Linked DNA regions of Astyanax mexicanus. The protein of the gene in region 1 purifies or fractionates together with the protein of each later gene. This does not show direct contact. Links are inferred from orthologs where the notes say so. Each region holds a gene or a part of one and is shown in the gene's direction. Other genes may lie near its edges.

Evidence for each region.
Region 2: the proteins of marchf5 (region 1) and dnm1l purify together in Homo sapiens (affinity purification with western blotting, with the first as the bait; 3 studies listed by BioGRID). This does not show direct contact. The link is inferred for Astyanax mexicanus from reciprocal best matches to the Homo sapiens genes MARCHF5 and DNM1L.
Region 3: the proteins of marchf5 (region 1) and mfn1b purify together in Homo sapiens (affinity purification with western blotting; 4 studies listed by BioGRID, with this or other methods). This does not show direct contact. The link is inferred for Astyanax mexicanus from reciprocal best matches to the Homo sapiens genes MARCHF5 and MFN1.
Region 4: the proteins of marchf5 (region 1) and mfn2 purify together in Homo sapiens (affinity purification with mass spectrometry; 5 studies listed by BioGRID and IntAct, counting the BioPlex papers as one, with this or other methods). This does not show direct contact. The link is inferred for Astyanax mexicanus from reciprocal best matches to the Homo sapiens genes MARCHF5 and MFN2.

The regions. Positions count from the first base shown.
Region 1 is NC_064414.1:41,275,231-41,282,394, forward strand, and holds the start of marchf5 (E3 ubiquitin-protein ligase MARCH5), read left to right. Parts: upstream 1-4,162; 5' UTR 4,163-4,503; coding exon 4,504-4,547; intron 4,548-7,164. Other genes in the region: cpeb3 (cytoplasmic polyadenylation element-binding protein 3), read right to left, coding at 1-135. UniProt on the Homo sapiens protein: Mitochondrial E3 ubiquitin-protein ligase that plays a crucial role in the control of mitochondrial morphology by acting as a positive regulator of mitochondrial fission and as an important regulator of immune response.
Region 2 is NC_064417.1:36,154,250-36,161,490, forward strand, and holds the start of dnm1l (dynamin-1-like protein), read left to right. Parts: upstream 1-4,232; 5' UTR 4,233-4,371; coding exon 4,372-4,473; intron 4,474-6,559; coding exon 6,560-6,704; intron 6,705-7,241. Other genes in the region: dnajb9a (dnaJ homolog subfamily B member 9a), read left to right, coding at 1-194, 1,100-1,530. UniProt on the Homo sapiens protein: Functions in mitochondrial and peroxisomal division.
Region 3 is NC_064423.1:30,687,637-30,695,142, forward strand, and holds the start of mfn1b (mitofusin-1b), read left to right. Parts: upstream 1-4,503; 5' UTR 4,504-4,613; intron 4,614-6,182; exon of another isoform or gene 6,183-6,317; intron 6,318-6,453; 5' UTR 6,454-6,488; intron 6,489-6,593; 5' UTR 6,594-6,604; coding exon 6,605-6,719; intron 6,720-6,808; coding exon 6,809-6,944; intron 6,945-7,402; coding exon 7,403-7,506. Other genes in the region: trappc10 (trafficking protein particle complex subunit 10), read right to left, coding at 1,779-1,839. UniProt on the Homo sapiens protein: Mitochondrial outer membrane GTPase that mediates mitochondrial clustering and fusion. Membrane clustering requires GTPase activity. It may involve a major rearrangement of the coiled coil domains.
Region 4 is NC_064419.1:19,263,728-19,271,626, forward strand, and holds the start of mfn2 (mitofusin-2), read left to right. Parts: upstream 1-4,896; 5' UTR 4,897-5,312; intron 5,313-6,751; exon of another isoform or gene 6,752-7,315; intron 7,316-7,899. Other genes in the region: plod1a (procollagen-lysine,2-oxoglutarate 5-dioxygenase 1), read left to right, coding at 757-882, 1,101-1,226, 2,720-2,875. UniProt on the Homo sapiens protein: Mitochondrial outer membrane GTPase that mediates mitochondrial clustering and fusion. Mitochondria are highly dynamic organelles, and their morphology is determined by the equilibrium between mitochondrial fusion and fission events.

The DNA.
Region 1 (7,164 bases):
AACCACATTCGTCGGGCTGTGAGCGCGTTTGAGTGAAGGACAGGACGAGCAGAAGGAGAAATTATTGTTAATAAAGCTGCTGCTGCTGCTGCTGCTGTTATCGCTGCGGAGCAGAGCCGAGCCGGGATCGCCCATTTAGCAGAGCCGGTATTACACAAACCGCAGCCCGGTTCCTCCCGGCCGGTCCCCCTTTCCTTCAGAACAGATTAATCTCCAAAACGTCAACAAAACAGGAAAACAGCTTTATACAAGTAGCGATATTCACCTATTCCTACGCCACGTCTCTTTTCCCCCTCCACCGGAACTCCAGATCTGCAATGTGAAACTGATTCTTGTTCCTGTTTTTTTTCTTTCTCCTCCCTATATATAAAGACCACCCCTACACTCATTTGCATACGTCAATAAATACAGCTGCGTCCTTCCACAAGGTTAAAACCAGTCTATATGTCTAAAACACACACACACAAAACTAATCTGGAAAAAAATAAAGAAAAAAAAGTAAGTTCCTAAGTAGATGTGGGCAATATGACCTTAAAATAATATCTTGATACTTTCTCTTTTCAGGGTATTTTTGTGATAATGATACTCTTAGCGACATAACAAAACAACATTTTTTATTCATATACTACTGCAACAGTATATAGTAGTATATATAGTAGTTTCATACATTCAGTAGAAACAAACAAAAAACTATAAAAGTTTGTCAATGAGTTTTTTTTTATCGTGTCAAAGTGTTTGGCGATATTACTGCAAACGGCCACATTCCTATACATTTTAGAACTAACTAATTTCTACCCAGCATTATCACACACTTTCCCTTTCTGTCTCATATGTTTCACAAAATTTTGCCAAGAGTTTACCTAGCCTGTCCTGGCCTGTCCAAGGGCTGAAGGACATTCTTACTGCCCTATTGGACAGTCCTTACCTTTGGGCTCAAGTTATCTGGCTAAAACTGAGAAATTCTAAGGATATTTAACATACAAAAAGGATTTCCCAGTTTATCAGTTACCATAAACCAAACAGAAGAGGATTATTCAAGAGTAATGTCCCTTAGACATTGTACCATTGGACAGACTCTTCAAAAAGATTTCTGGCTAGTCAGAGAAATCGCGTTAATACATTAATAAGTTTTAAATCTTACAACTATATAATCATGTAATATACCTCATGCCCACTAATTATGAAAATAGTTAACACGCACAATAATATCAAAGTTAATTTGTATTTGCATGTTTCACTGTTTTTCTTTTTTACCCCATAATTTAAATTAAATTTAGTGCTGTCAATGACTGCGCCAATGAATTATAAATGGTCCCACAGAAATGCTCCAAATTAGGCCTGTCATAATAATTAATTTGTCTGGATGTTTATATTAATCCCAAAATAACTGCAATATACAACTATTTCAACCATTTCATGAGACTGATATGAGTGTATGATAGCATAAGCAATTGCTCCTTTTTAAAGAGCAATTCACCTTTAATTATTAAGACTTTACCTGTTTACCTGTTAAGAACTGCTTTTGAATCAAAGTCAAAAGTGTTTATGTATGTAACGTTACAGTATATTTTTAAGCCTGAGGCTGCATTCATAAAGCATATCAGTTCTGACCTAGAATTAGTTTACAGTGATCATTCTCACCATTCCCTGCATAATGGTTTCATCTTTAAAGTATTCGAAGCCCTGACCAGATGAAGGGGACAAAGACACTTAAATTAACTCAAATTAGACACTGCAGCAAAAGGTTAACAAAAAACAAGCATGGGAAATATTTTAAAAAGCATGTAGATTAGGCTGTGCTAATCACCAAAATACACAAAACAATAATAAAATCAAATCAAAAGTCTTCTTCCAGTAGAAAATAGCAGGCCAAGTGCGCTATGCGACAGTTTTAGCTTAAACAGCCCGAGAGATGCAGGCTGCAGCTGAGTGAACACTCCCTGCAAGCTCATCGTGCTTAATATAGCCTGGCACACAGAAACGGCACAGCAAACGATCCCTGTCATAGTTAACAAACAAACATTCCTGTAGAGTCGCTGTCGCAGTTAATCCTCGCTTTTTTTCTATGTTGCTGCATAAGAACTGCCTATTCAAGGTCAACTAAGTGATCAATACAGTGGGACAAGCTGTCAGAGCAACCCACACACTCCCTGTCCCGGGAAAGAAGCTTAGCTACACCGGCCTATGCGTCAAAGCTCATACAGCAGGATAAGTAACCCAGCTAAACACATACACATATGTGGGGGCTATGGCTATGGGAAGGGGTGAAACCATGCACCCCCTCACCCTCCCCATACACACACACACACACTAATCCTCCACTGCACCGATAGCATAGCGAAAGCACAACCCATATGCCACAACATGCACGTTTCTGCCAGCGTAGACTGCGTACATCAAACAGACATTACCTTATCGTTTCACCTTTGGGGGATTCTGTGAATAAAAGCTATTATTTTTCAGTTTGGTTCGTCTCGGTATTGATATGACAAATGAGCTCCCCTGCTATAACCGAGGTAAGAGTCAGCAGTTGCCTCAACAGCTGATTGACTGCGGCGCATGGATGATGCAGAAGAGGCTTCTGGGAAATGTAGTTTTTTTCCCTGTTTTAACTTCCAGCGTGAGTAGTTTTTAGTTGTTTAGATATTTTGATCACAGCTTAATGTTTAATGTGTAAAAAAAGGGAATACAATCAATATACAACTATTGTAAACATAAACGTATTTTATCAAGAAATATGACAATTTGTATAGGAACATTCATCCATATGCTATCTATGTTATAACCATTTAAATATAGCCACCACATTGTAGTGTGCCAACTCTGTTGCCTATTTCGCTAACTATGTTAATTTAAAAACTAAATAAAAAAAGTAAAACAATGCTATAAATATATTTAACTAAAAACTTCCCACAAAGTGAAATGTACTCACTGGTTAAAGCAATCTGGAATTGAAAGTAAACAATACTGCCTATTTAGCTACATGATGCAAAAGCTAAATTAAGAAGAGAAACAGTGGGCCAATGCACATCCAATCTATAGGCTATTATTTTATTGTTTTTTAACCCCACAGAGTAAAAAAAAAGTTGTCACTGGTGAAATTAATCTGAAATTTCTTAAAAGTAAACACTTATGCCTATTTACACAATGCAAAAGCTGCATTATTGAAATGAGTAGGCCAATCACCAACCAAGCATGGGGTTGATTGCACAATTTTAATAATCTCCCACTGAGATGTTTAACAAATTAAAAACAGTTCTGCCAACTAAATTATGTACAAATTGAATTAAAATAAAGTCAGAGGGCCAATAAACCAATCATAGGCTGCATTTATCATTTTTTCCTAATCTCACACAAAGTGAGTTCCCATTGGGGTGAAATCAATCTGAAACTAAAAGTAAACATTACTGCCTGTTTATATGATATAAACATCAAGCAATTATGGGTTTAATTTTTAATAATCTTTCACAGAGTTTTAAAAAGGTCCTCACTGGTGAAATTGAAAGTAAACATTATTAACCTGCCTATTTGCAAAATGCAAAAGCAGAATTAAACATAATAGGCTTTTTCTGTATGTATTTTTTAATTGTAATAATCTTTCACAGAGTGAAAAATAAATCCTCATTGTGTTAAAACCAATCTGGTACTGAAATTATCTAACTTAATTCAGATTAAAATGAAGAGTGACTCATCCTTATCCCTTTTTTTATTTCAAATATAATGTCCTTGCTATTTCATATGCTTACTAGCTAACACAACAGACACCCTCTCTTTAGAAATAGCTTAATCACTCACTTGCCACCTTTAAACATAGTAGTTAGCCTCCCTACTTCTTCAGTCCTTCTTTCTCTTTACAGAAGCTTTAGTGAAACGTGTTAAACGTGTCTTGGTTAGCTAACGTTAACTTACCGCAGTACGAGGTGTTTTGCAGCCATATGTGTATCTTCATAGCTGTGTCTTCCTTCTGTTTCCTAATGAGGCTCAGTGCCTCTGAGTCTGGGAGCGCCAGGCTGCCGGGGTTAGCTGGAATATAAATTTGATATTGTTTTGGCTATCCTTGCTGATATGAAGGAGAGGAGTGAGGACTGAGACTACATGACCCAGAATGCTCAGCGCCGCGCGCGTCGGTTTTTATTGTTATTGGTGACGCAGTGCGCGTCCCCGAGACAGACACCTCGCAGTCAAAGAGCAGTAAATGGAGTCAAACGGACACGGCACGAAACTATTAATAACGGGGAAAGTACTAGCTAGCTAGGTTAATAGTGATGTGGAGTTTTAGTCGGTGAGGCGTGTTTATAGTGTAGTAGGGGGTTTAGCTGTATGTAGGGAGCTGGGTTAGCTAGCTTTAGCTAACTAGCTGGGGTTGTTTCGGTATCGGCTCGGCTCGTCCTCGTTCAGGCCTTTCTAACCTCAGCTAACCGCTCTTCAGATGGTTCAGACTGTTTATTTAAATAACCGACAGCTCGTTTCTACGCTTGGAAACTTTTGAACACTTAAGAAGACATGGCGGACGAGAGTGCCGTTATTGTTCAGCAGATGTTGGACAGGTATGTGAATGAACGCGTTGGTGAGGGTGACTGACCTGCAGGAGAGACAGCTATCTAGCTAGCTAGCGTTAGCTGGCTGGCTGACACATTGGCTATGCTAGCTATCTAGCTTGCTAAGCTAATTAGTTAACCTACATAGCTTGTACGCATGTAGTTAACTATGTATCGTGTTCTGTGCTGTTGGACTGTTGTAAAAATAGCTGTATTGTTTAGCTAGCTAAGGTTAAATTAAGTAAGCTAGCTAAGCTAGGTTAGCTTGCTAGCTAGCTGCTTGCCAGCAGTGACAGAGAAACATGGAGAGGCGTGTTCTTAGCTCGCTAAATGATGTAACGCTAATCAAGCCATGTAGTTTAGCTAACCTAGGTGACCTAGGTTTAATGGTGAATACTGTTGTAATGAACATTTTAGGGCAATATTCTTTAACAAAATAAAAATAATGCTACGAGGGATCTCATATTGGAATTCTCGTTTTACACAGATTTCTTGGAAGAAAGCCTGATCACTCCCTTAAGTTTTGTATTTCTAATTATAAATCAGAGAAGTAAGTTACACTTAAATCCTACGTAATATCTACCGTGTAATTAAAATTGGGCTGTCTGCCCAAATTAAAATTGGGTAAAGGTAAAATATTTATTGTTAAATTTAATTTGTTTATTTAGCATATGAGATGTGTTGTCAGTATAACTGTTTTGTTTAGCTTGTAAAACCTTTTTGGTTGTATGTTTTAATTATCTTGGATGTCCGATTTTGTATAATAAAAAAAGGTAGCTGACCTAGTTAACTAGTGGTAGGTTAACTGCCTAGAAAGTCAGAAAGCAAAGGTATCATTATTTTAGTAAAAGTGGCCAAATTTATTTTCTGTAGACCCACACTAAAAAAATGTTCATAATATGATTCTTACTTAAACTAACTTGGACAATTTTTTAGGCATGATCTTTCCTGTCAGTCCACGTGCAGACACACCCACACCAGCTGTAGCTGTCTGTCTGTTGTCCTATTGTTGCTGGCATACTTACTTATCTCATCATTGTATACCAGGTATACCAGGCCAAAACCTTTGGCTTCCCACATAAAAACTGAAATTTTGCAGGAGAAGTGAAGCAGCTAACCTACAGTCAGGAAAACAAGTGTTTAAAATAGATCTTCATTAAGAAGCTTAACAGTAAACTTGGGTAGTGTGACACACCTAAGGACAGATCTAGGTTCAGTGTGTTCCATAGAAAGATCAAATCTTCTTCATGTCTTTTAAATTGGGCTGTTTTATTAATTTTGCTTTCTTCAAACCTCACTGGAGGATATTGCTTGATAATTGTTTTAGGGTTATCACTGTTGCTGTAAGATTTGACATGGATACATGTTTCTGTTCAATAATTTTTAATTTACCTGTTGACCACGTAATTCATATTAGAGCTAGTTTGGACCACAGTCTGGTACCAAGACTCATTGTTGATATCGTAAAGCATGGAAATGTCTTACAAATTTATAATAATGCTGCTTATTTAAAGATAAAGTAGCTTTTTTCACTTTGAGAGCATCAGCGCCATCATATATTTAAACAAAGATCAAACCTACCATCCAATATTTTCAAAGGACTTTTTTATCAAGTGATTTTTCGGGCACCTGCTATAACTTATGAAAGACTGGCTATTGCCCCTTTAATATTTTGAACAAGATAAATGTGCCATTGATCTGTGCTTGAAAAGGATTACAGGTTACACCTAGCAACAAAGTTTCATTATGACCTTGAAATGAAGCCTGACCAGGTTTGCCATGTCATATATGTAGCTGCTCTTATGAAGTTTGGAGAGTTTGGAGCAGGACACAAACTTTGTCTGTCTATCTAACATTATATTTCATATTTTACTTGGAGATTTAAATATTTATGTTCGACTGACTGTAATAAAGAGAATATTGTCTTCATTGCTGCTCTGGTCAGTTAGCACATTGCTAACTGAGCTATGTAACTCTGAAGCAGACAGGATACCGCTTGTAAGAACTGTGTAATGCTACGTGACCCAAGGCATATTTGTGTAATCTGGTTTTATTGCTCTACCACATTAGTCTATATGTTTCTTTCACTTTTAGTTCATTGTTTCTTTTACTTTAAGTATATTGATTCTTGCATATTGTTGTTTAATTTAAAGGTTTAATATATTTAATCTCAAGCAGCATAATTCAGTACAGTTAGCAAAGTCTACAGAGAGAAATACCACAGAGAGTATAGTTTGCATCATGTTGTATTTTAGATTGCCATTTCTCTTAAGCATATTGAGATATATGGTTTTTAATCATGTCCTCCAACCCTAGCTGTAAGCTTGAATTCTACCCTTCAGTAACCTTGAAGCTGCAAAAGCCTCTTTTCCATTCCAATTTATTTAATATTGGTTCGTCTAAATTTAGGCAAAACGCAGCAACAGAGCTATTGATTTGCTGTGGTTCTTTTTTGCCCTGTCGTGGTGCAGGGCAGCTCTCTGTGTCCTGACCTTGTCCATGTTTTTTCCACTGAGAGTCGTGTTTGCCAGAAGCTCTGTGCTCATGTCCCTGTGCTGTAAAACAAACCAGATAACTGGATTGAGGTCTGGTCAGCATGCACAAGCCGACATGTTTGTTGTTCCCC
Region 2 (7,241 bases), on another chromosome or scaffold:
AATGTTTGCTGTGTGCATCCTGATGATAACAGAACTGATACTGGCCAGAAAGGACTATTATGATATTCTGGGGGTTCCAAAAGATGCCAGTGAGCGTCAGATTAAGAAGGCTTTTCACAAGCTGGCCATGAAATATCATCCTGACAAGAACAAGAGTCCCGACGCCGAGGCGAAGTTCCGGGAGGCAGCAGAAGGTAAAAGACCATCACACATCTAAGCATGTTATAGTATAGTATATAAAACACATATTGTGTGCAGTGATGGAGGGTAGGGATCTTCCGATCTAATCAGGTTCCTGCTTTTTAAACCTGATCTAAGTCTGATGCTTGGTGCCATTAACATACATGAACTTCTAAACTGCTGCTTCTAATATTAATTCTCCATTATACCTTGCAGTGCAGCAGTTATATTGTGTTCATTTCAACATCACAACATAACTGCTAAATCACTGAAAGTGGAATAGATAGTTATTATGCAGACATTATGCAGCAAAAAAAAACAGCCCACAGAAAACCAGTTAAAATATTTGCTAGTTGATCTTTTAGAAAATAAAATGTTGTTTGTGTATTTATGTACTCACCAGTTCAGTTGTACTTGTGCAACAGGAAAAATATTATTTCATTATATCCATAAGGGGAGATAGACTCCCAGCACATCTTTATAGCTATCAGTGTACCACTATCCACACACACACACACACACACACACACTGAGTGTTTTGACTGCAATTTTTAAAGGAACTGGGAGGTGATTGGTCAGTTTGGCCAGTCAGATTGGGTTATGTTATTTAATATGGTAAAAAAAAATGAAGCTTAATCAGGACATCCCTAAAGGAATGAGGTAAAGTTACTGAGAGCTCCTTTAGAAAAATGTGTAATGCATGTCAAGACTATATATGAAAGAGTTTAGTGGCTTTTTATTGCTCTGTGGGAAGTGCTCTTATCCCCCCTTTTTTTTACTAAAATATTTTTATTTAATTGAGCGCAACTGACTCTGTATTGCCTTTATATCAACAGTTACATTAGTGCATTACAGCCCATTTTTACATGTCTGTTAAAACTCTAAAAAACTAATGCATTGCTCCTTTTGCCTTTTTCAGCTTATGAAACACTCTCGGATGAAAAAAGGAGGCAGGATTACGACAAGTTAGGACACGGTGCTTTCTCCAGTGAAGGAATGAGAGGGGGAGGCCAGTACTTCCATCAGACCTTCGATTTTAACTTTGACGAGATGTTCAGAGACTTTGACATCTACAGCCAGAACAGGCACGCCCGACCAAAGCGTCACTTTGAGGACCATTTCAGGGCCCACCAGCAGGCTCACAGCCGCCACAAGAAGCACTTCCAGGGGGGTTTTGGTGCAGGTGTCTTTGAGGACCTGTCTGATGACATTGAGAGAATGTTTACATTTGATAGACACAGCAAGCGGACTGACAGCAGGTTTCACGGCACGGCGAAACAGCACTGCAGGACTGTGACTCAGAGAAGGGGGAATATGGTGACCACCTACACAGACTGTACCTCCTCCTGAGCTACTAAGTGGACCATAGCTACCAGCAACCATTGTGTAGCTGGGCTCTGTTCAGCTACTATTAAGCTATATATTTTTGGTTGTTTATTTCATTAATTTATTAACCCGTTGCTGTGTTGGGCGAGGTTTGATTTTGTTTAAGAATAACTAGGTTTTACGTTTTATTTGGTCGCAACTGACATTACTTTAAAAAGAATATGCCACTGTTAGGAACAGAGTTAGGAGTTGTTTGCATTCCATCATTTCCCCTGTATACCTCTAAATCTGTACATCACTCTATAGCCGCCATTATGCTAATATTTATATCTGCTTACCTAATATTAGCTAATATTAGGTACTGCTAAATTTATTGGTGTTTACAAGTTGTCCTATGAACATTTTTGTTCTCTGAATGTTATGGTTTACAAGGTTAAAATATATAGAAATCTACACACTGGCTACATGAGTATACTAACACTCCTGCACATTGAAGCTATGTGTGAAAGTCTGCAAATTAACTTAACACTATTGTATAATAACACCAGTCACTCATAGTTGGTCAGTTTTACTATGTTTGTTGTGCAGTAGTGTTATCTTACTTAAAGCAATTTTGATGTTTTAACACTAACATCACAAAATTCAGGGGAATCAAGAAACATTCTGAGAAAAAGTATGGATACAATTTGTAGCATTGTTTATCACAAGGCATGGCAGCAGTGATTTTAAAATATATTGTTTGTGTTTCCCAATGCAAGTAGAGAAAACCTATTTGGATCCAAAGTTCTTAAAAGACAATTTCATCATAGTTCGTCCACTTTTTGACTTAGGTTTTTTTTCTAGGTTTGGTTTTAAAGAAATAGCTCACTCAAAGTCACAGTTAAACTCTTTGGTCCTTACTCAGAATGTCGCAAGACGGTGAAGTCACAACTTGACCTGTCACTCTAAATAGCTCATGTCTACACCAAAAATGTCTTAAGTGAGCCTGACAGGCTCAGAGAACCCAAATAGATCCAAAAAGAGTAATGTATAATTTATAGAATATTAGCTTCAAGATGGATGTGTTCGAGACAGAACATATAAAGCCCCCATAAAAATACATACTGATAAATGCTTAAAAACACAAAATAAATTATGATTGGCAGTTACTTTAGAGTTTTAGTACTTACTGTTTCATGGATTTTAGCAGTGCCTTTTTCAAAGTTCTGAAGGGAATTCAGATTAATTGTAAACAGATGTTCAAGGTTTGAGAAGAATAATAAGTTTAGGATTGAAGTTCACGTCTTTGGTTGCCTCATTAGGGGGGATGGTCTTCTCATAATAAGCAGGTGATCTATTACCTGTTACAGGAGCTACTGCTTCGAGTTTCTGTCAGAATCATTTTGAACTAAAGTTTAGGGGGTTTCGCTGTGTAGTTTTTGCTTGTTAAAAGCAATATAGGAAAAGGAAAATGTGAAGGCATATGCTTAAAATGCTCATCTTTTACAACAAGGTTCTATAAAAAGCTTACCGTAGTTCTTCCGAAGCTTTGGCTGCACTTGAATTCAGTCTGTGAGAAACACTTCTAAAACAAAGCAAATCTGTTGTGTCGCTTTATGCATTTGCCTGAGACTGTCTTTCACTTGTAGATTAGTCTCCAAACCACCTTATATGCATGGATCACTTCAGTACCAATTACTGATATAAATGTGTCGGGTCCAGCTCTGTTCTTACCTGTTACCTCATTTTTCATTTGGGATAACTTTGTTTTTGTGCAATATTATAAGCTAGCTCTCTTGTTAATACCACTGTTGCTAGCTGGTCTTGTTCAGTTGGAGTATCAGCTGACACATCAAGCACTTTTATTACTTAATCCTATGGATGAAATGTAAATAAGTATGTTCAAACCCAGATGTATAATGTATAGAACTTGGGTGAAATAAATGGTAAGAAATGCAGTAGTTGTGGTGACTGTTTTTCCTCCCTTTCAATACCTGTGTTATACTCATTGCCAAGAAAAATGAGCACATTCAGCATCTATAGACATTGAACTGTTCAAACATGTGCCTGAGAGTTATGTGATCTAAAATAAAATGCCTAAGCTTGAATGTCATGAGCCCACAGCTCCCATACCAGTGAGTACCTAATTTAGGATGCTATCACAAAACAGTATTATGTGTATTATCTTAATAAAATGGTATATTGCCATAGATTTAGCAAATGAGGGATTGTTGAAACAAAAACACTATCTGGTTCCAGGGCACCTAAAAATAGTAGGCAGCAAGTGAACATAAAAACGAAGTAACTGTAACAAAAACCAAAACATCAGGCCAACAAAAGAATGGCTAGCCTAAATACGTACACTTGTGTGTCAATATTAAGTGTGTCAGTATTCTCAGACTTCCCAAGTCTGATGTCTGTATTGTGAATATAAATGACCACATAGAAAAAGACTTACTATGATAAAAAAGTTTCAAGACAAAGTCAACTTAATTTATCACAAGCAGAGTGTAACAAAGCAGTTATAATAACGTAGTGCTAAACCAATTTGTATTCGTTTATTATCACTTCTGTCTGCGTCTGCCTTCGTCTAAAATCCCACAACATGCCCCAAAATATTTCGGTTTCACTCCGGTTTCTTGGGTGAGAGTGAAACTCGGAAATGTAGTTCCTTTTGTCAGAGGATTCCCTAGGAGTTAGGCCATGGATCTGTGTCTGCGAACTACAAATCCCATGAAGCCGCGCGGCAGAATTTGTGCGCAGTTGGTTCCCGGGCCGGGCTGTTAAATGGTGGCACCGTGAGGGACATTGGATGACTTTGTGCTGTTTTTAGCCGTTCTACAGTAGCGACTCCATTCATTTAGACAGGCAGCGGTCGCCTGAACCATGGAGGCTCTTATTCCTGTTATTAACAAGCTGCAGGACGTGTTTAACACAGTGGGCGCGGATATTATCCAGCTGCCGCAGATCGCAGTGGTGGGAACGCAGGTAAGTTACGCTAACTAGCCATTGATAGGATTTTACTGGAGTTAGCCGCAGCAGGCTAACAGCAGTGAACACTGCGGTGATTTAAATACTCCCCCAGTTATTCTGTTAGCTGGTTAGTTTACATAATATAATTAACTATGCAGTGTGAATGTTTAAGTGCTAAGCTTGTATACACAAAGAGCCCTTTCTGTTTACTACACATAATGCGGCAAGCTGACGTTAGCTAGCTTGCCTACATCCTAGCCTAGCTAACAGTTAACCTAGGAAGACTTGTGTTGGCTGTCAATATGACTGTCTTAACTTTAGTCAGCTAACTTATTTGTCTTTCTGAGTAGATTGGTTCTTTTTTAAAATTCGTTTTAATTCTTGCACACTGGCAGTAGATACACCAGTACTTTTACTGTTTAGTTATTTATATGATATCCAAAATAAATGTAGCCTGGAGAAAGAATATGAAAGAGGGAAATATTAAAATAGTAAACATAGAGATAACATAACTACAATAGATGTAAGTTACACTATTCAGTATATTCTTTACAAAAAGGCTGCTAATGTTTACAGCTTTCCTATAACAAGATGATTTAATTTACCTAACCATACATATATGCGTACATTACGTTGTCAATAAATTATTTCTAAAGATAAAGATTTTTTTTCTGTACTCACTGCAGTAATGTTGCTACCTTATACATTCCCAACACAAGTCAAAGGTCCACATTTCTTAAATAGGTGATAGAACAGACATAATTTAAAGTCTATCTTCTGTGCTTTAGAGCAATTATATACTTCATATATCATATTTCTTCACTTTACTTTCGTTTTACTGTACAACAATTTAAAGTCTCAAGTGTACAATCCTTTTATAATGGTGTCAGAAAGCCATATTCATCCAAAGCTTCTACCTGAAGGAGAAGTGAAAGTTTATCCTCTTCTTCAGTCTATTATCGTAATGGGTTTAAAGGCATGTCTTATTTTGGCTAACTGGACTTTCGCTCCTCAGTTAAGAGGATATGTCTGTCTAACTAGGAACCCAAACACCGGAGCCGCTGCTCCACAAGAACAGTGAAGTGTTAGTAAGCTGTCTGGGCTGCTTAATAGCTGGATTTCTGCCAGTAAAATTGCATTTTGTGTTTTTTCTGTTGTGAAATATGAGCGCATGTGAAGCGTAAGCTGCTGAGAACAATAAAATACAAAGGTAAAAAAAGTCTGAGGCCTCAGACCTTGAGAACTACACACATAAAAATGGGCTTTTTTATGATGCTCTACAAAGGCAATAAATTGGCATTTGGACATTTTTTTGACATGTTTAGATTCCACTGATATTTAATTTTGTGATTTTTAAACTCCAGAATAGCATGAATGATTCTTTCTACTGCTCATCCTGGTCCTGTTTCAGTACTGATTTCTGTGTTTTAGTGTTTGTATTAGCTTTGAATGACCAAATATGTACATGCACATATTAGTTTCCATATTGTTGCATATCTAATTTAGCATGTTACTAAAATACAAGGTTATGTGTATTCTTTTAGTAAAATAGAGAATGTTTTCATACATCCAGCAAATATGGGACAATTGAAGTGAAAAAAACATTGATCATCTGGTTTCATTGGCACCATTTAAGGGTGTGGAGTTACATAACAGGTAGCATGTGTACATAAGAATCTGAGTGGCTGTGAAAAGAATCAAGTTTAAACCAAATGTAAAATAAACAAAAAAAAGTAGATGTTTTGTTGTCAAATTACCCCCAAAATAATAAACTGCTATAAAATATCATGATTAAAGCCAATGTATTACTTTATTTAAACACCCAAAAATGGGCTTTAGCTTAAAACAAAAATGTGTGAGGTGCGAAAATGTATGTAGAGTATATATAATTACTGCAAGAGATTGCAAACAAATTAGCAAGAGTTTATGCTAATCACCCGCAAACAGAATAACATTTGGACAGCTTACCCACTTTATTACACAATTTTTACTTCCCATTGTTAGAATAAAGGTGGTTTGTACCTCATTTGTGTGTTATTGTTGTGTGTTGTCAGCATTGGTCAGAGTGTTTTTTATGTGACTGTGATCTTCTCGTTTACAGAGCAGTGGGAAAAGCTCTGTTTTGGAGAGTCTGGTGGGCCGGGACCTCCTGCCCCGTGGGACAGGCATCGTCACCCGCAGACCGCTCATCCTGCAGCTGGTGCACGTAGACCCAGAGGACCGCAGAAAGACGAGTGATGAGAACGGTACTCTCTCCCTGCAGTCTCCCTGATCTCTCGTCTGTTATTCACGCGTGTGGGTGTGTCGTGTGCTTCTGAATGAGCCGAATGCGTCACCCTCCCATTGTCTGTCTCAGGTTAGAGCAGTAGGGGTTAGGCCAGGACTTGTGAGCAGCAACCTGTCACAACAAAAGGAATGCCGTGCTTTCACTCTGCTGTTTTTTTTAAGCTGCCCACACAGCATTAGAACAGTTTCTGAAACATTCCTCTCCTTTATCTACGGAGCCTGGGAGGGGCCGTGGATAAAAAAATAATAAAATCGAGTGAACGATGTAGCAGTTCGTGCTCACGTTTTCTTTAATTCGAGTGAACGATTTGCAATTCGTGCTCACGATTTCTTTAATTCGTGCTCACGATTTCTGTAATTCGTGCGCACGATTTCTGTAATTCGAGTGAACGATTTCTGTAATTCGTGCTCACGTTTTTATGCGCAATAAGACAAGAAGCTCGGAGGGAAAGGAGCATTTTCTCTCTTGATCTGTTACAGGGGTGCAGTAATGATAA
Region 3 (7,506 bases), on another chromosome or scaffold:
GGTAATACTTGGCCACTTTGACAGTCATGTGTGTTTACTGCTTTAAATAAAACTGAAGACGCAAAAGCAATATGAGAGAACAGCATCCAATCACAGTGATATTGCTGCAGCACCTGTGGAACAGTGAGGGTTAAGGGCCTTGGCTCAAGGGCCAAATCACTATGGCAGTGTGTTTAACACTGAACCACTATGGGTTGTTCACATTTTGATCTAACTATTTAAAAACAAAAAAAGACACTATGGCAGTAAGAAAGCACAGCACAACACAAGCATACTGTTTCACTTAAAAAAGAAAGCCAATAAAAATATTTATGAAAGTAATTTAAGTTAACTAACAAACAGCTACAACTTTGGCACAGAAAACATTAGAAATAGTGCCAAACCTAAAATTAAATAACGATTGACTGGCATCAGTCTGGCTTTCTAAATACAAAAACAAAAGGACCTCAAAAACACAACTTCTTAAAACACAACAGAGGCCAATCTGAAGACCCTTCAGCTCCTGCCCACTTGTCCTTATTATGTTTTGGTTTATATGGTTTGCCATCAAGAAAACACACTCAAATGTATCACGTTTTAACATGTTCACTTTTAAACTATATGCTTTAAAATAATGTAAAAAAAACTGAGTGAGCACACATAACAAAAGAAGACCCTTTAACACGTGCCCACAGGGTGCGTTTTGGTGTGGACGGTTTCCAATCAAACAAACCAAACTACATTCTTCGGCATGCATTTCTTTCTTTTGGAAAAGAATGTAAATTGTTGTCCACAGACAGCTCTCCTATGACAGCAACCAATGGGCAGGTGCATATACACATGCTTAGACTAAATTAAAAAAAAGATCACTGCAAAAGACAGAAAACGACAGTAATGAGGGAGTATATCCAGAGCATACCAGCTTACTGTAACACAGAACTAAGTGCTGAACATGCCTTTACTACAGAGAAGTGGAAGCGAAAGAACGCATTTCCCTTTTCTCTCATCCGTGGAAAACATAGCTACACACCCCAAGCAGCACGAAGGCAAACACACACCTCCTTCAGTAAACAAGACAGCACGCTGAATTCACAGCTTATAGGTTATATAGCCAGTCTTTTACACATAGAATCACCAGGTAGCTATCCACACCTGCTGTACTGTTATTTAACCTGCTAAGCTGATGTAGAAAATGTAGCTAAGAAATTAATTTCCACCTTAAATAGTGCAGCAGAATGTGGCTAGCTACTGCACTATTTAAGGTGGAATGGAAAATGCCAACACGAAGCAGGCGAGTTAGGAGTGCAGTTATGTGAATTATGTATTAGTGTATTCTCGCCCTGTATTAAAATTGTGATGTATAAACTAACATATAGTCTTTATCTTTAGATATTTTCATATTCATTCAGATTCAGAGCAGCAGGCCAGGGCTGTTATTCCAGCTCAGCAGCTTCAGTAACGCTAACGCTAGATTAACAGCCCGGCGGTTTAAAGGCACTTAATGCTAATAGCTAACTAGCTAGTTTGCAGGGAGGTTAACTAGCACCTAATTTAGCTTGCTGGTTGGCTACGTGTTTAGGGGGCTGCCTGTAGGTGTGTTTGATTGTTCTACAGTACAATAAAACACTAGTCACAGTTTGTACATATGTATACACGTATATATCTGTATGTGTGAGGGTTTCTCTGAGGTGGCAGACAGACTCTGCAGCAGCAGCAGCGGCGGCGGCGGCGGCTGCAGCCACTAGCTTTAGCTTAGCTTAGCTCCAACTGCTAACAACAACCTATAGCCGCGCACTCACACGTCACTATGGGTTTGTTCTCCATCGTGTAGATGATGGGCTTCTCCTCATGGGGCTCCATGGGCTCGAACAAGCTCGGCCTTAGTCCACCATGAAAACGTCCGGGCGGTCAACCGAGTTAAACAACCGGGGCTCTCGCTCTTACACTCGCAGCGTCGGTGAGGCCGCTTCGCCTCGCCATTTCCTATCTGCTGACAGGGTGACGATGTCCGGAGTGAGCGAGAAGGGAACGGCGGGTGCGTGCTATTCGCAAGTGCTCGCACCCTATTCCCTACTCTCTACGTCTTACTACGTACTACTCCACTACCTCTTAGGTTTATTTATACTTTATTGAATTGATTTTCTTTCCAATAAGAAATTTACATGAAACATACATCTCAAACGCAATATCCAAAACATAATACACACATTAAAAACTTTACCTTTGAGATTCAGTGAGGCTTTCTTTAAAAAGTCCATATTTTATTGCCTTTAGGTTTCTAATTGATTTGGTATAGGACATATAGGGCTAATTATTTTATAGTTCCATTTTATAAGATTTATTACAAGGAGTCTTTCATTTGCAGTTAGCCATGTTATGTCTCTCATTTTTTCAGATAATATTTAATTACATATATTTTCAATTGTCATTTGAAACCATAGTACCATAGTTTATTTATACTTTATTAATTCTTTTTTTCAAGAAGAAATGTATTTCAAACATACATTTTGAACACAATATCCAAAAACATAATATACACATTATAAACTTTACAGTATTATTACCTACAAACAATATCAACATTTTAAAATGTCCATTTGTCTCCTTTTTGCTGATAACTAACTAGTCACAGTCTGTAAGTTCAACCATGTCTGATTAAAAACACTTCCACTTGTAATATTTAGATGTTCTATGGCAAACTTACATCTTGTTTTCCATAGTTTACATTAAACCATGCAAATGATCAACCAAATAATTTCCCTTTAATATTCTGTAAGGCTTTCTTCAAAAATCCATATTTTATTACTTTTAGATTAGATAATAGATTATTGTTATTTTATCACTAATTTGATTTAATTTATCCCATACTTCCTTTAATCTATAACATTCAAACAAATAATGCATCCAATGTTTCTAATTGTGCACAATTTTGTATAGGACATATAGGTTTAATATTTTATAGTTCCTTTTTTATCTGATTCTTTAACTGTTAAACCATTATATAAAACCCTAGTACCATTATTAATTTCTTTTATTATTTTTTCTTTATTCGAGTCAAAAACCCAATTTATTTTATGTCCTTTTATTTGATGGTTGGTGCGGCGCAGTGGATAACACCTCCACCTGCTTGAGAGCCTCCACATCATGTGGGAGGTTAGGGTGACTATACTGTTATACACCATGGGCAAGACACCTAACACTACATTGGCACACCTCTGTAATAGAAACAACCTTGTAAGTCGTTCTGGATAAGACTATCAGCCAAATTCCGTAAATTGAAATGTACAAAGTCTGAAAACGGTATTTTATAATAAGGTATTGTGTTTGCCCAATTTCCCCAAATAGAGATTAAGCCTAGACTTAGAAAACACAACATTTAGAGTGGAGATTTTTAAGGATTTTTAAGGACATTTTTAACATGTACTGTGTGACTTACAATGGCTTGTAGCCTAGTCCAAGTTTTCCACTCCCTATTATAAATGTTATATACTGATCCCTATCTCCACTACTAATATAGTCATGTACAACTGAAAAGACGGCACCCTATTCCCTACACCCTATCGTTACTCCCTACATGTTCTTCAGTGCGACCAGCAGAGAGCACCAACACGTTATCAAAACCCTGCAGCAATACAACAACCCTTTGCACTCTCATATTTTAGGCAAAATATTCATATAAACCATCTATAACAACCCCCCCCCTCCCCCCACAGGGCATTGCATTTTTCCTAAGCAGCAATTATTGTGCTTTTTTCACCTTTTTCCTTTAATTTGAAACAAAAATGTATTTTTTATAAATGTATTTATTAAATGAACGTTGGGCGTTGTTTCAGTACATTAGAGACGTATGTTTTGATATCTAGGAATGCATATGAAGTTACTTAACGCCAAAGCTTTTCTGTTTTAACTAAAATTATTACATCATTATTTTTTTGCAATTAGAAAATGTACCCAGGTACCTACGTAAGTCACCAATATGTAAGATGTAATTCAACAAATACATTAAAATAAATACAATAAAATAAAAAAAAATATATATATATATATTTCATTTTTATAATCTTCAACATCAAAAGATTACATTCAACCAAAAAAAATAATAATAACATTAATTCAACGTTTTTTTTTTGCTGTCAGGGTAGCTGTCCTATTATCCCTTTAGTCAGTAGTGTCTGATTAATTGCAATAAAACAAATACTCTGGGAATGCATATAAAATTAATTGCAATATGGTTAACACCACTGGTTTTCTGTTTTAATAAAAACATTAGACCATTATCTTTGCAATCATATAATATACAGTAAAGTATAATATACAAGTAAAGCAGGGTATGTTGAATCAACGATCATTTTTCTATGTTCTATAGTCATAAACATTAAAATATGTAATTAAACAAAAAATAACGTTAATTCAATGGGGTTTTTTTCAGTCCTTTCAGTCAGTAGAGTCTGATTTATTACATTAGTCTGATTGTTATCAGATCAGGTCAAACTGTTACCAGAGCTCTGGGACTTTTATTTTGAAGCAGCTGCTGTGCTGGATCTCCACGCTTTTGCGCTGAAGGGTCAAATATTTCGTGTGTGTGTTTTATCCAGCTAGCATGACACGAGAGGATATAATCAGTCTGTAAATCGGTAAGGCGTTTATTTATGGGTTTTATTATCATATATATGATAATATGCGCGTGTCGATATAGTGTAATTAGGTTTAGCAAGCTGTGTTTTCGCTGTTTTCGTTGGTTATGAACTGAAATAAAGCCGCAGCGCTAAATAACCCCGTCCTGGCTGTGAGGCTCCGACACTCTATGCTTTTGTATAGCCGGGTGAAGTGGGTATTATCGGTCTTATTGATGATTGTTGGCTGATTAATAACATTAATAATAATTAGAGGAGTGATTATTCTTATAGGAGTTTAGCTAGGTTACAGTAGCTAGCTTGTTAGCTAACTAACTCTAGCTCAATAAATATTTGATTAGATGCTAACCATTAGATTAGCCATCTTCAGACTGTTTGAATGGAGCTCAGAGCGATTAAAAACTCAACTACACAAATCACAGTGGGCGGTGGAAATCCTGTTTCTGCTCTGTTTTGCATTTTGTTGAGGTTTTGTTTGCACGTAAGTTAAGGGTACCTTATCTTACCTGGTTTGTGTATTATTGGTGTTTGCCTCTCAACTTTTAAGGGCTTAGTACTGTGTAACTTATTTATTTAAGCTATAAGATATTTTTTGCTAGGGAAAAAATGCTCATTAGTTACGATTGAATGCATTAATACTGGTTTGTACTTGATTTTAAATATACTGACAGCTGATCCTTTTGGCTGTTTCTGATGTTTGTCATATGATATACCTCACAGCTTGCTGCAGTTGTAACTAGCTATGTGAATGTTAGGTAAACAGATAAGCAGTTAAAATAGTTAGCCACTGCTTTAAATATGTAGCCCAAGTTTTTGTATTAATTCATTTTTATTTTTCAAGGCTCTTAATATGCTTTAATAAACAATCCCCCGTTTAGAAATACTTGAAAAGTTCTTGTTGTTGAAGGTCTTTGCATATTCTTCTTAGTAGAAGGCCTTTATTTCTGCGATACAGTGTCACTCTTCTCTTTCAATGTGTTTTATTTAATTTTACGATTTTGTACAGTGTACATTTAAGACTAAAGATATTAAAGCTATACAGGAGCACATGCTGAATTATTCTGTACACAAAAAGGGTTACACAAACCAGAATATGTTTTATACTTAAGATTCTTTTAAGAAGCACATTTATCTTTGAGGACAGATCTGCACACTCTTGGTATTTTAACACTCTTGGTGTCTTCATGAAGGAGGGTTACCTGGAATAGTTTTCTCAGTGTCTTGAAAAAGTTCCTGGAGGTGCTGAACAACAGTTTCTGTTTCATTCACCATTTCAGTCCATCAGGTTTAGATCAGGGGATTGTTTGGTTTTATATGTACTTCCATATGTGTCCCTTAATTGCATTTATGTCTGTAATATAAAGCTACAATGTAAAAAAAAAAAAAAAAAAAAAAAAAAAAAACATTTTTTCTGTTACTGTGTTCTTGGGTTGTTTTGAGGTGTGCTTCAGATTATAATCCTGTTGTATAAGATAGTTCCACCAATTGTTGGTTCTTTTAAACACTTTTAAATACTTCCTTAGCCCAAAGCAACTGTTTTCAAAACTCACCTGGCTTGTCTTTATGTAGAGAACTGGAGATGGAAAATGTTGGGAGTAAGATTTTTCATCAAGATCATGCTTGTGCAAGCATCCCTGCTCAGTGGAACAGTGCACAACCCTTTTGACTCGGCTAAAATTCATGCAGATTCTGATTAAATAATTGGTAACTAATTGCCTTGGTATTACTTAAATATTATAAAAGAGTATTTTGGTACTATTTAGTAGTTAATATGTATAAATATGTAAACTGTGTATAAATGTTAAATATTAATAAGGCTGTGGTGTGCTTGCTTTTAAAGGTTTGGCACATCGTAACTATTTGGGGACCCTTAAGGTAAGCAGTTAAAAATTAAAAACAAAAAATACTTAAAAAAAAAAAAAAAAAAGCTAGACTGCTATGAGTAATGTAATGTTTTTTTTTTGTTTTTTTGTTTTTTAGCTAATTCAGAAATGGACCAAGAGGACCGCTCTCCACTAAAGCACTTTGTAGTAGCCAAAAAGAAGATAAATGATGTCTTTGAGCAGCTGCTGGGCTATGTCCAAGAGGGCTCAGAGTTTGTAAAAGGTGATTTAAAGTGATTTTAAACTATAGTTTATTATAGTTTTACCTGTCTTGTTTTAATTTGTTCTAATTCGTTTGTTTTTGTACATTAGAAACATGTCAGAATACGTCGCTGGAGCATATTGCAGACAGCACTCAGCTGCAGGAGATTGAATCGTATACTGAGAAACTGGCGGTCATCAAAGAGGTGCTCGCTCGCAGGCATATGAAGGTGGCCTTCTTTGGCAGGTGATTTAATGGAAGAATTTTTGAGTTTTTAAATCCAACTGTTATTGATTGTGGTGTACTTAAAAATAAAGGTTGTCCTTTAAATAAACCATTTGTTGTTCTACAAAAAATCATTTAAATAAAAGAGGTGGACAGTGGACAGGGCAGTGAGTGTAATTAATGTGGCTGGGAGTGTCTGGCTAGACTTGTCCATGCAAAAAGACAAGAAACTTAATTCATTGTAAAGATTCTTTACAAATGCATCTCTATTATAAATTTGGCTCATCCAAAGAACCTTTTATAGCACATTTAAATTGTTTTAAGATAAGTAGTAGGTGTTTTTTGATTTATTATATCTTCTATTGTTTATGGACCCTGAACATTTTTTTAAATGCAGGCTCTTATCTTTTATTTCTGTGTGGTTGTGGATAATGTAGAGCTGTATCTGAGTGTTTATGCTTGTCTGAATTTCCTCACAGAACGAGCAATGGAAAAAGCACTGTTATCAATGCCATGCTGCGGGACCGGGTGCTTCCCAGTGGCATCGGACACACTACAAACTGCTTCCTGAGTGTTGAAGGCA
Region 4 (7,899 bases), on another chromosome or scaffold:
GAAAACCTCTGGAATATAATCAAAAGGAAGATGGGTGATCACAATCCATCAAACCAAACTGAACTGCTTGAATTTTTGCACCAGAAGTGGCATAAAGTTATTCAAAAGCAGTGTGTAAGACTGGTGGAGGAGAACATGCCAAGATGCATGAGATGAAAACTGTGATAAAAAAAAAACAGGGTTATTCCACCAAATATTGATTTCTGAACTCTTAAAACTTTATGAATATGAACTTATTTTTTTTGCATTATTTGAGGTCTAAAAGCTCTGCATCTTTTTTGTTATTTCAGCCATTTTTCATTTTCTGCAAATAAATGTTTTAAATGACAATATTTTTATTTTGGAATTTGGGAGAAATGTTGTCCGTAGTTTATAGAATAAAGCAACAATGTTCATTTTACTCAAACACTTACGCAAAATCTGAGAAACTGATTTTTTTTTTTTCAGAGCTGTATTGTTGCACTTACAGTATTACTATAAAGCATGGTCATTGTGGTGCAAATAATACCCTATTTTACTTTGTGCTTTTCAGGTCAATGTGTGCAAAAAAACAATATGTTTTATGCTACAAAATATTTAATACACAATGTATTTTGTCATTTGTGTGTTGTGACACCCATACTGACAATTAAATCACAATATTATACGGAGAAGGAAAAGCCTGTTAAAGTCTGTTAAGCAACCTAAATTGGTGTCACTGTAGTTAACAAATAACCCAGTCATTATTTAATTTACCTGACTGTCTTTTCCCATCAGTGTATCTCCTACCTCAACTTTGTTGTGAGGTACAAACCTGACGAGCAGCCCTTACTCACCCCACACCACGATGCGTCCACTTTTACTATTAACATAGCTCTCAACAGCAAAGACATTGACTATCAGGTAAATGAGTCCTTGGCTCAACGGTGGCGCTTCGAGCTGAGACTAAAGATGCTGTGGCAGTTGTAGCGATGCAGGGGGAGTGGCTAGCTTATTTCCCCTCTTTTCTCCCCTCAGCTTCATTCTTCTGGAATGCCTGAAGGGTGGTCTGCTCTCTTGTGTTTTGTGTGAGAATGTTGCATGACGCTTTTTGCCTCTCTTTGTCTGTTCTCTCTTCACAGGCTCTGTTTGATTTGGCGTTTGTTGTTAGATATAGACCCGATGAACAGCCCTCTTTAAGGCCACATCACGATGCGTCCACTTTTACTATAAATATTGCTCTCAATCAAGTGGGAATAGATTATCAGGTGAGTTAGAGCCTCTGTGTTTAAATTGCACAATGGTTTGATTTGTGTTTGACATGGGCTTTTTTTGTTTGCTTACCAAATAGATTTTTTTTAATTAAGTATCTTATTAAAATGATGGAGGTGCAAAACTTGGTTTTATAAATGAACATATTGATGAACTAAAAAACAGGTACTAAAAACAACTACATTTAAAATAATAACATTTCCCCCTTTCTTTACATTGACAAATGTAAATAATATTTGTAGTGTTTAACCTACAGGTTCGGTTACCATGCATAGAACCAGCATATCAGTAAATTTAAAGGAAACATTAGCGGCCTGTATTGATTTTGGCATAAAACTGCATGTGAACTTCAATATATGAAGTATTAGTGAGTTACAAATGGGTAATAATACTTTACAATTTACAGTTGAACTACTATCTTAGTAGTACTTTTAAGGAAACTACTTAGTACTTAGATCTAAATATTTTCCACACCCCCCACTCAAAGGACTTCTATTGAATACTAAAATAAACTTTGGCGCTGTGCATTAGTCACACTGTGTGTCTGAAAATAATAAAAACTAATTTTATTGTCAAGAAAATTCACCTATAAGCAATGTTGTATGTTTACCTTCATGTCTGGCATTGCTTTATCTTCATACTTTGTAATACTTCTCTCCATGTTGGTGAAATCTCATATTATTCTCTGCTTCTTCCTCCAGAGCTTTACACATATTTCCTTGCATGTAGACATTTTAATGCTTTACAGTTCTTTCTTACAAAATTAAAATGTTCTTAACATGTGGGTAACTTTGTACTGCCTTGAGTACATTTATGTCTGTTCCCTTAATATTCTGCTTTAGGGAAACATACCTGTTACCTGTTGAGCTTTAAGACATATGGTTTATCATTTAAAAGCTACAAGTGCATTAATTGAAGTATATGTGTAGAAAAGATTGTGTACAGCCCATATTTAGCCCACATTCATAACTTGCAACATTGTTTAGACTGAAGAGGTGATGTGTAAGAATAGGATATTTTATTCTGAATGTGGAGATTGATATTTTAATGTTGAAGAGTCTAAATATATATTGGAGCCCAAGCAATATGACAATAATACCACAAATAACTCAGCATGGTCAGAAATTCCAATAGTTTAGCCAAAGATTGCATCATTGACTGATATGATTGGTGGCCAACTGTACATTGACATATTGTTTATAATAAACCATTGTAATAATTTAGGTAGTATAAGTTTTGTTATAATAGTTTATATGTTAACTGGTTTCTTCTAATCAGCACTTTTTTGTTCTGTGCATAGAAATTGTGTTTTTTCTTTTTTGATGAAAGACTATAAATTATATCTCAGATTTTTTAAAAGTCAACAGGAGATGTATGTAAATGCTGGTTATTATGCAGACATTTAAAAAGTATTCAATAACAGTGGTCAGTGACAGCACCATGTTAAAACCTAACTCATGTCGTCTTATCCATCCGTTCTCTTGTCCAGGGCGGAGGCTGTCGATTCATTAGATACAACTGCTCCATACGGGCCCCCAGGAAAGGTTGGGCCCTCATGCACCCGGGCCGCTTAACACACTACCATGAAGGCCTTCCTACCACATCAGGCACCAGATACATCGCTGTTTCATTTGTGGATCCTTGAGTTGATCTCATAAGGAAGCCAATTGTTTAGAAAAACAAAACCAAACAGGATGGTTATATTGTAATATGGGAGTTTTAGCAGGACCAGAGACGCAATCATTTTGACTTTAAATTGAGAATCATTAAACGATTTGATAGAGACTGTGCCTTACATGCCATATAAATCTGTAATGTTGTACTAACAGAACTGTATTTAGAAGGCCAAGTGAACTCAGGTTTACTTTAAATGCAGTAGATGGAGATGCAGTGTGTACCTCTATGAAAAAAATGCTTTTATTTATTGATCCATTTCCAAAGCATTTACACCAAAGGTTTAAGTGATAGAAATTATTTGCTCAACTATTTTTTTTTCTTGGATAACAGAATCATACATCAGGCTTTCTACTTGATAATGTTTCCTAGAAAAAGGTGCTACTGTTTAGAGATGGGCTGATGTAGGTTTTTTCTTCAGTGCTCTCTTAAGTCATAATTTTATATGTCCGTTGTTTTTATTTTAAAGGTTTGTTTTCTTATTTTTTCTTGTCAATAAATGTTACTTTTTCACTAAGCTGGACTGCTATGTTGTCTTTCTTTTTGTAAATTTTGTCAGATTATGTCAAATATCTTACAGTATATCAAAGTTCTTATTGGCAATACTGTTCAATTGGCTGGCTTTTTTTCAATATGGCCAAGAGGTTAATTACAGTCATGCAATTCATCCCTCCCATCTGGAAAGAGACTGTAAACTAAATGTCAGATCACTGCTTTAGAACCATATTTTACATAACTGATCAAAATTTTCTGCAGCAGGACAATGATCCAAAACACACCAGCAAGTCCACCTCTGAACTTAAAAAGGCAGTTCATGCTCAAAAACCCTCCAATGTGTCTGAATTAAAACAATTCTGCAAACATGAGTGGAGGCAAAATTCCTCCACAACGCTGTAAAAGACTCACACAGGGCCATGTAAGTTTAGATTTTTTTCTCCCTTAATAATAACACCTTCATTTAAAAATAGCATTTTGTGTTTACCTGTGTTGTCTTTGACTAATATTTAAATTGGTTTGATGTTCTGAAACATTTAAGTGTGACAAACATGCAAAAAATCAGGAAATCAGGAAGGGGCAAACACTTTTTCACACCACTGTAATTCTAGCTTGTAGCTGCATTCTAAACAGCCTGCAGTCAAGGTTGGACAGGTCCTAGGGTGGACTGAAGTAAAAAAGATTTCTGATTAATCAGGCAGGATTCTGAGGCAGAAAGACACCCAGTCATGTCTGAACCGAGGTCTAATAATCAAGCCTTCTGTTTTATTTGGCTAAAATCCTAATGGCTAATGACAACACAGCTAAACGCTAATATCTAGCAGTGAGCTGCATTATATATATTTTCCTAAGGACTATGTAAAACTAGTTGGCTACTTTCTCCAGTATAAGCTTTTTTTTTTTTTTACTTGAAAATTATTGCATAGTAATAATTTTATACCAAAAAAATCTATATATGAGATATATGAGCAACACTAGAGGTTCTAGGGGAGGTTCAGATGAAATCTGATTGGCCCTCTGAAGAGCCCCTGTCCTGTCAAAATTGGTAAGGAGATATTTATGGAGTTAGTTTTGTACCAAATGTTTTACACAAAAATATCAAATTATATACATACAAAAGCAAATAAATAAATAAATAAAAAGCAGAAGCAATCAAGAGATTCCAAAAGCAGAAAAAAGAAAGCATAAGATGGCAAAATCCACATAGAAATGGTTTTCATATATATTTGATTATTATTTTTGTTGCAGATTTTATTTTTTGTGTAAAACTTTTGGCACAAAATTACCTCCATTTTTTTTTATTACATTCAAGTGTGAACGTGGGGTGACTGCTGATCACTGTTGTTGCTTCAGCTCTAGTATTCAGTGTTTCTTGCACTGCTTCCTATCTAGAAAATAAAGTAACAAGGGAGTAGGGATCGAGTGTAGAAGTGAAGGGAAGAAAGCAATGTTATTGGGACGCGGCCTTTCTGCCTCCTCTCCTCAGAGCTGTGTCGCATTCGGATGATGTGAGGTTAATGCACTTGTAGAAGGAGACCGACCAGTTAACATTGTTACATAATAAAACTACAGCTGGATTCATAGAGTAAACAGTACGATTTTAATCATTTTGGCTGCATTAGAGGCAGTAAGGTGTATTAAATTACCTGGGTATAATTAACTAGCAGAGCTAGCTGTGTCCTGACCGCTCTTCCCTTCTTTCTGGGAGCGCTGACGGAAAGACCAAACTGGACAAGCTAAGCTAAGCTAACCTAGCTAGCCACCTAACGTTTACTATCTTTATTACGCTAAATTTCTTAAAACTTACGTACAGTTTCGTGGATAATCTTGGAAATAAAACTAGCAACTGGCTGTTTATTCGAGGACAGTGGAACCAACATGCTTGAGGACTTGTTATAACCACGCCTTTCTTGGTAAGTTGCTAATGAGCTAGCTAGCTTAGCTAACTTGCTCATATACACACTTTACTGTATAGCTAACTAGTTAAATTCAGGGGTAGTAAAACAGATAATGTACTTATAAAAAACGTAATTCCATGCTACTTTATAACTACTTTATAAAGCGCGCACTTATTGTGGCACATTAGCTAGGTTAGCTAACTACCTGGTAAATTTGCTACTATCAATACATTTATTTAATTAGGATACCCAGCTAGCTGTTTAGGTAGAGTAAAAATCCGATAGTTAACTACCTGTAACGTAGCTTACAAGTGAGTAGGTTCATCATTTGCACAGCATGCCCATGAGGCTCAGGTAGCTAACTAGCTAGGTTATTTACTCTACAGCAGAATAGCTACAGACTAAAGATGGACAATGTATTGATATTTTATTATATCGTAATAATAAACCTTATTGTATCGAGATATAGAGGTAACGTTACCAGAATACCACCACAGTATCCTTTACAGGAACTGTTTTAAAGATTTTGGAGTAACATCACTGTGGCCACGCCCACAAAGCACCTTAGGAGTTGACTGGCAAATATTTCACATCATTTCAGAAATGTAGTATTTTCTCTTCAATAAAAGGATGGCCATATACAGCTCTGGGACAAATTAAGAGACCACTTCTCTGATTTTGCTATTTTTAGGTATCTGTTTGAGTAAAATGAACATTGTTGTTTTATTGTATAAACTATGGACAACATTTCTCTCAAATTCCAAATAACAATATTGTTATTTAGAGCATTAATTTGCAGAAAAATGAGAAATGTCTGAAATAACAAAAAATGCAGAACTTTCAGACCTCAAATAATGCAAAGAAAACAAGTTCATATTCATAAAGATTTAAGAGTTCGGGAAATCAATATTTGGTGGAATAACCCTGTTTTTTATCACGGTTTTCTTGCATCTTGGCATGTTCTCCACCATTCTTACACACTGATTTTGGACAACTTTATGCAACTCCTGGTGCAAAAATTCAAGCGGTTCAGCTTGATTTGATGGCTTGTGATCATCAATCTTCCTCTTGATTACATTCCAGAGGCTTTCAATTTGGTGAAATCAAAGAAACTAATCATTTTAAAATGGTATCTTATTTTTCCAGACTGTTTGCAGCAGTTGTGATTGGCTAAGCCGTGTTGGGAGAGCTGAAAGTGAGCGTTGTGATTGGATCAGTTATCAGTAGTCAACATCTTATTAAAGGGATCAGCTGTCCCTTTTCCCCAATTACTGCTCCTTCACCTTATTTCGAGGTGGGAGAGGAGAAGTAGCAAAAGATTTTGGACACAGTCTTGGTTCTTTAGCTTGAACCCTCACGGTATCTGTGGGCGTGTCTGTTTGTACAGGAGCACCGCCGCTGTGCGGGGCCCTCTGTTGATGAAATATGATGTAACTTTTGGACGGTTTTACTAAAACTGGTGGCGTTCACTGAGCAGCACCACGGCTTTTATAAACGGAACTGGTTGAAGAACCAGTGTAAAAACTCAGATAAATAAGTGCTGGGTGTTGTTAGACAGGACCGGCTAGAGCTACACCTCTGTGGAGGAGGCGTGACCCTCACAGCGAGCAGCGTGACCGCTGGTGGATGTGGGAATCAGTGTTTCAGCGACGACACGAGGAGGTGAATACACCCCCCCTCACCCAGCCGAGCGGTGTGGTCGGATTAGTTCCACGGATAAGAGGAGCTTTGGGACGGGCTGAGTGTGTAGAGCAGGGCTGCTGTCTGCTGGAGCTGGAGTGCGTGTGACATTGAGCGCGAGCGGGACTCACTGTAGCACACGCGCTCTGAACATGACTCTGCAGGCTGAGTTAGCTGTCAGGCTAACATGAGGTCTGTCTGCGCTGCGCGTGTCTCCGGCACGGCTCTGTGAATTAGGTGAACGGTCACGGCGGGACCACTGCGCTGGATGTCCCGTTTTTACCCTGCAGGATACATATTTTAAATTTTTTACTTCAAGGTTGAGCAAATACGGAAAGGTAAGAAGGTCATGTAGCTAAAATCTCGTATTTTAATAATTTTTTTCCATTTATAATGGAAAAGCCTTATGATATATTTAGGTTAGCTAGGTTAAATAATATAGATATACTTTTTGCCAGCCTAGTTAACGTTTACTAAATTTATCAAGCTAACTATTTAAATTAATATAAGTAACTTAGATACAGTGTTTTCTGTCAAACAGTTGTAACTGTTAGCTAAAATGCTTTATACTATTCAAAAAAGATATATTACAGTTAAAGATGAAGATTAATGTATTCTGTAGGTAATATAACTAGCTATAATCTTAACAAAACATTCAGGACTAATAAAATAGGTTATTTTAATGTTTAACTAACTAGTTAGTTAAGATTTCCACTTCCAATAAAAGTTGAAGTAATCTTTCTGTGTGTAAGGTTATTGGGGAGTATGGAAAATTATAAATACTTGCTTAAAATGTTATTGGCATCCAGTACAAAGACTGTAACTTAATATAAAATGGATGTTTCCCCCTGTCACAAAGGGACATAGAGCTAAACTGAGAAACTGGTAAAAGTTGTGCCTAGGTGTGATTATTATTATTATT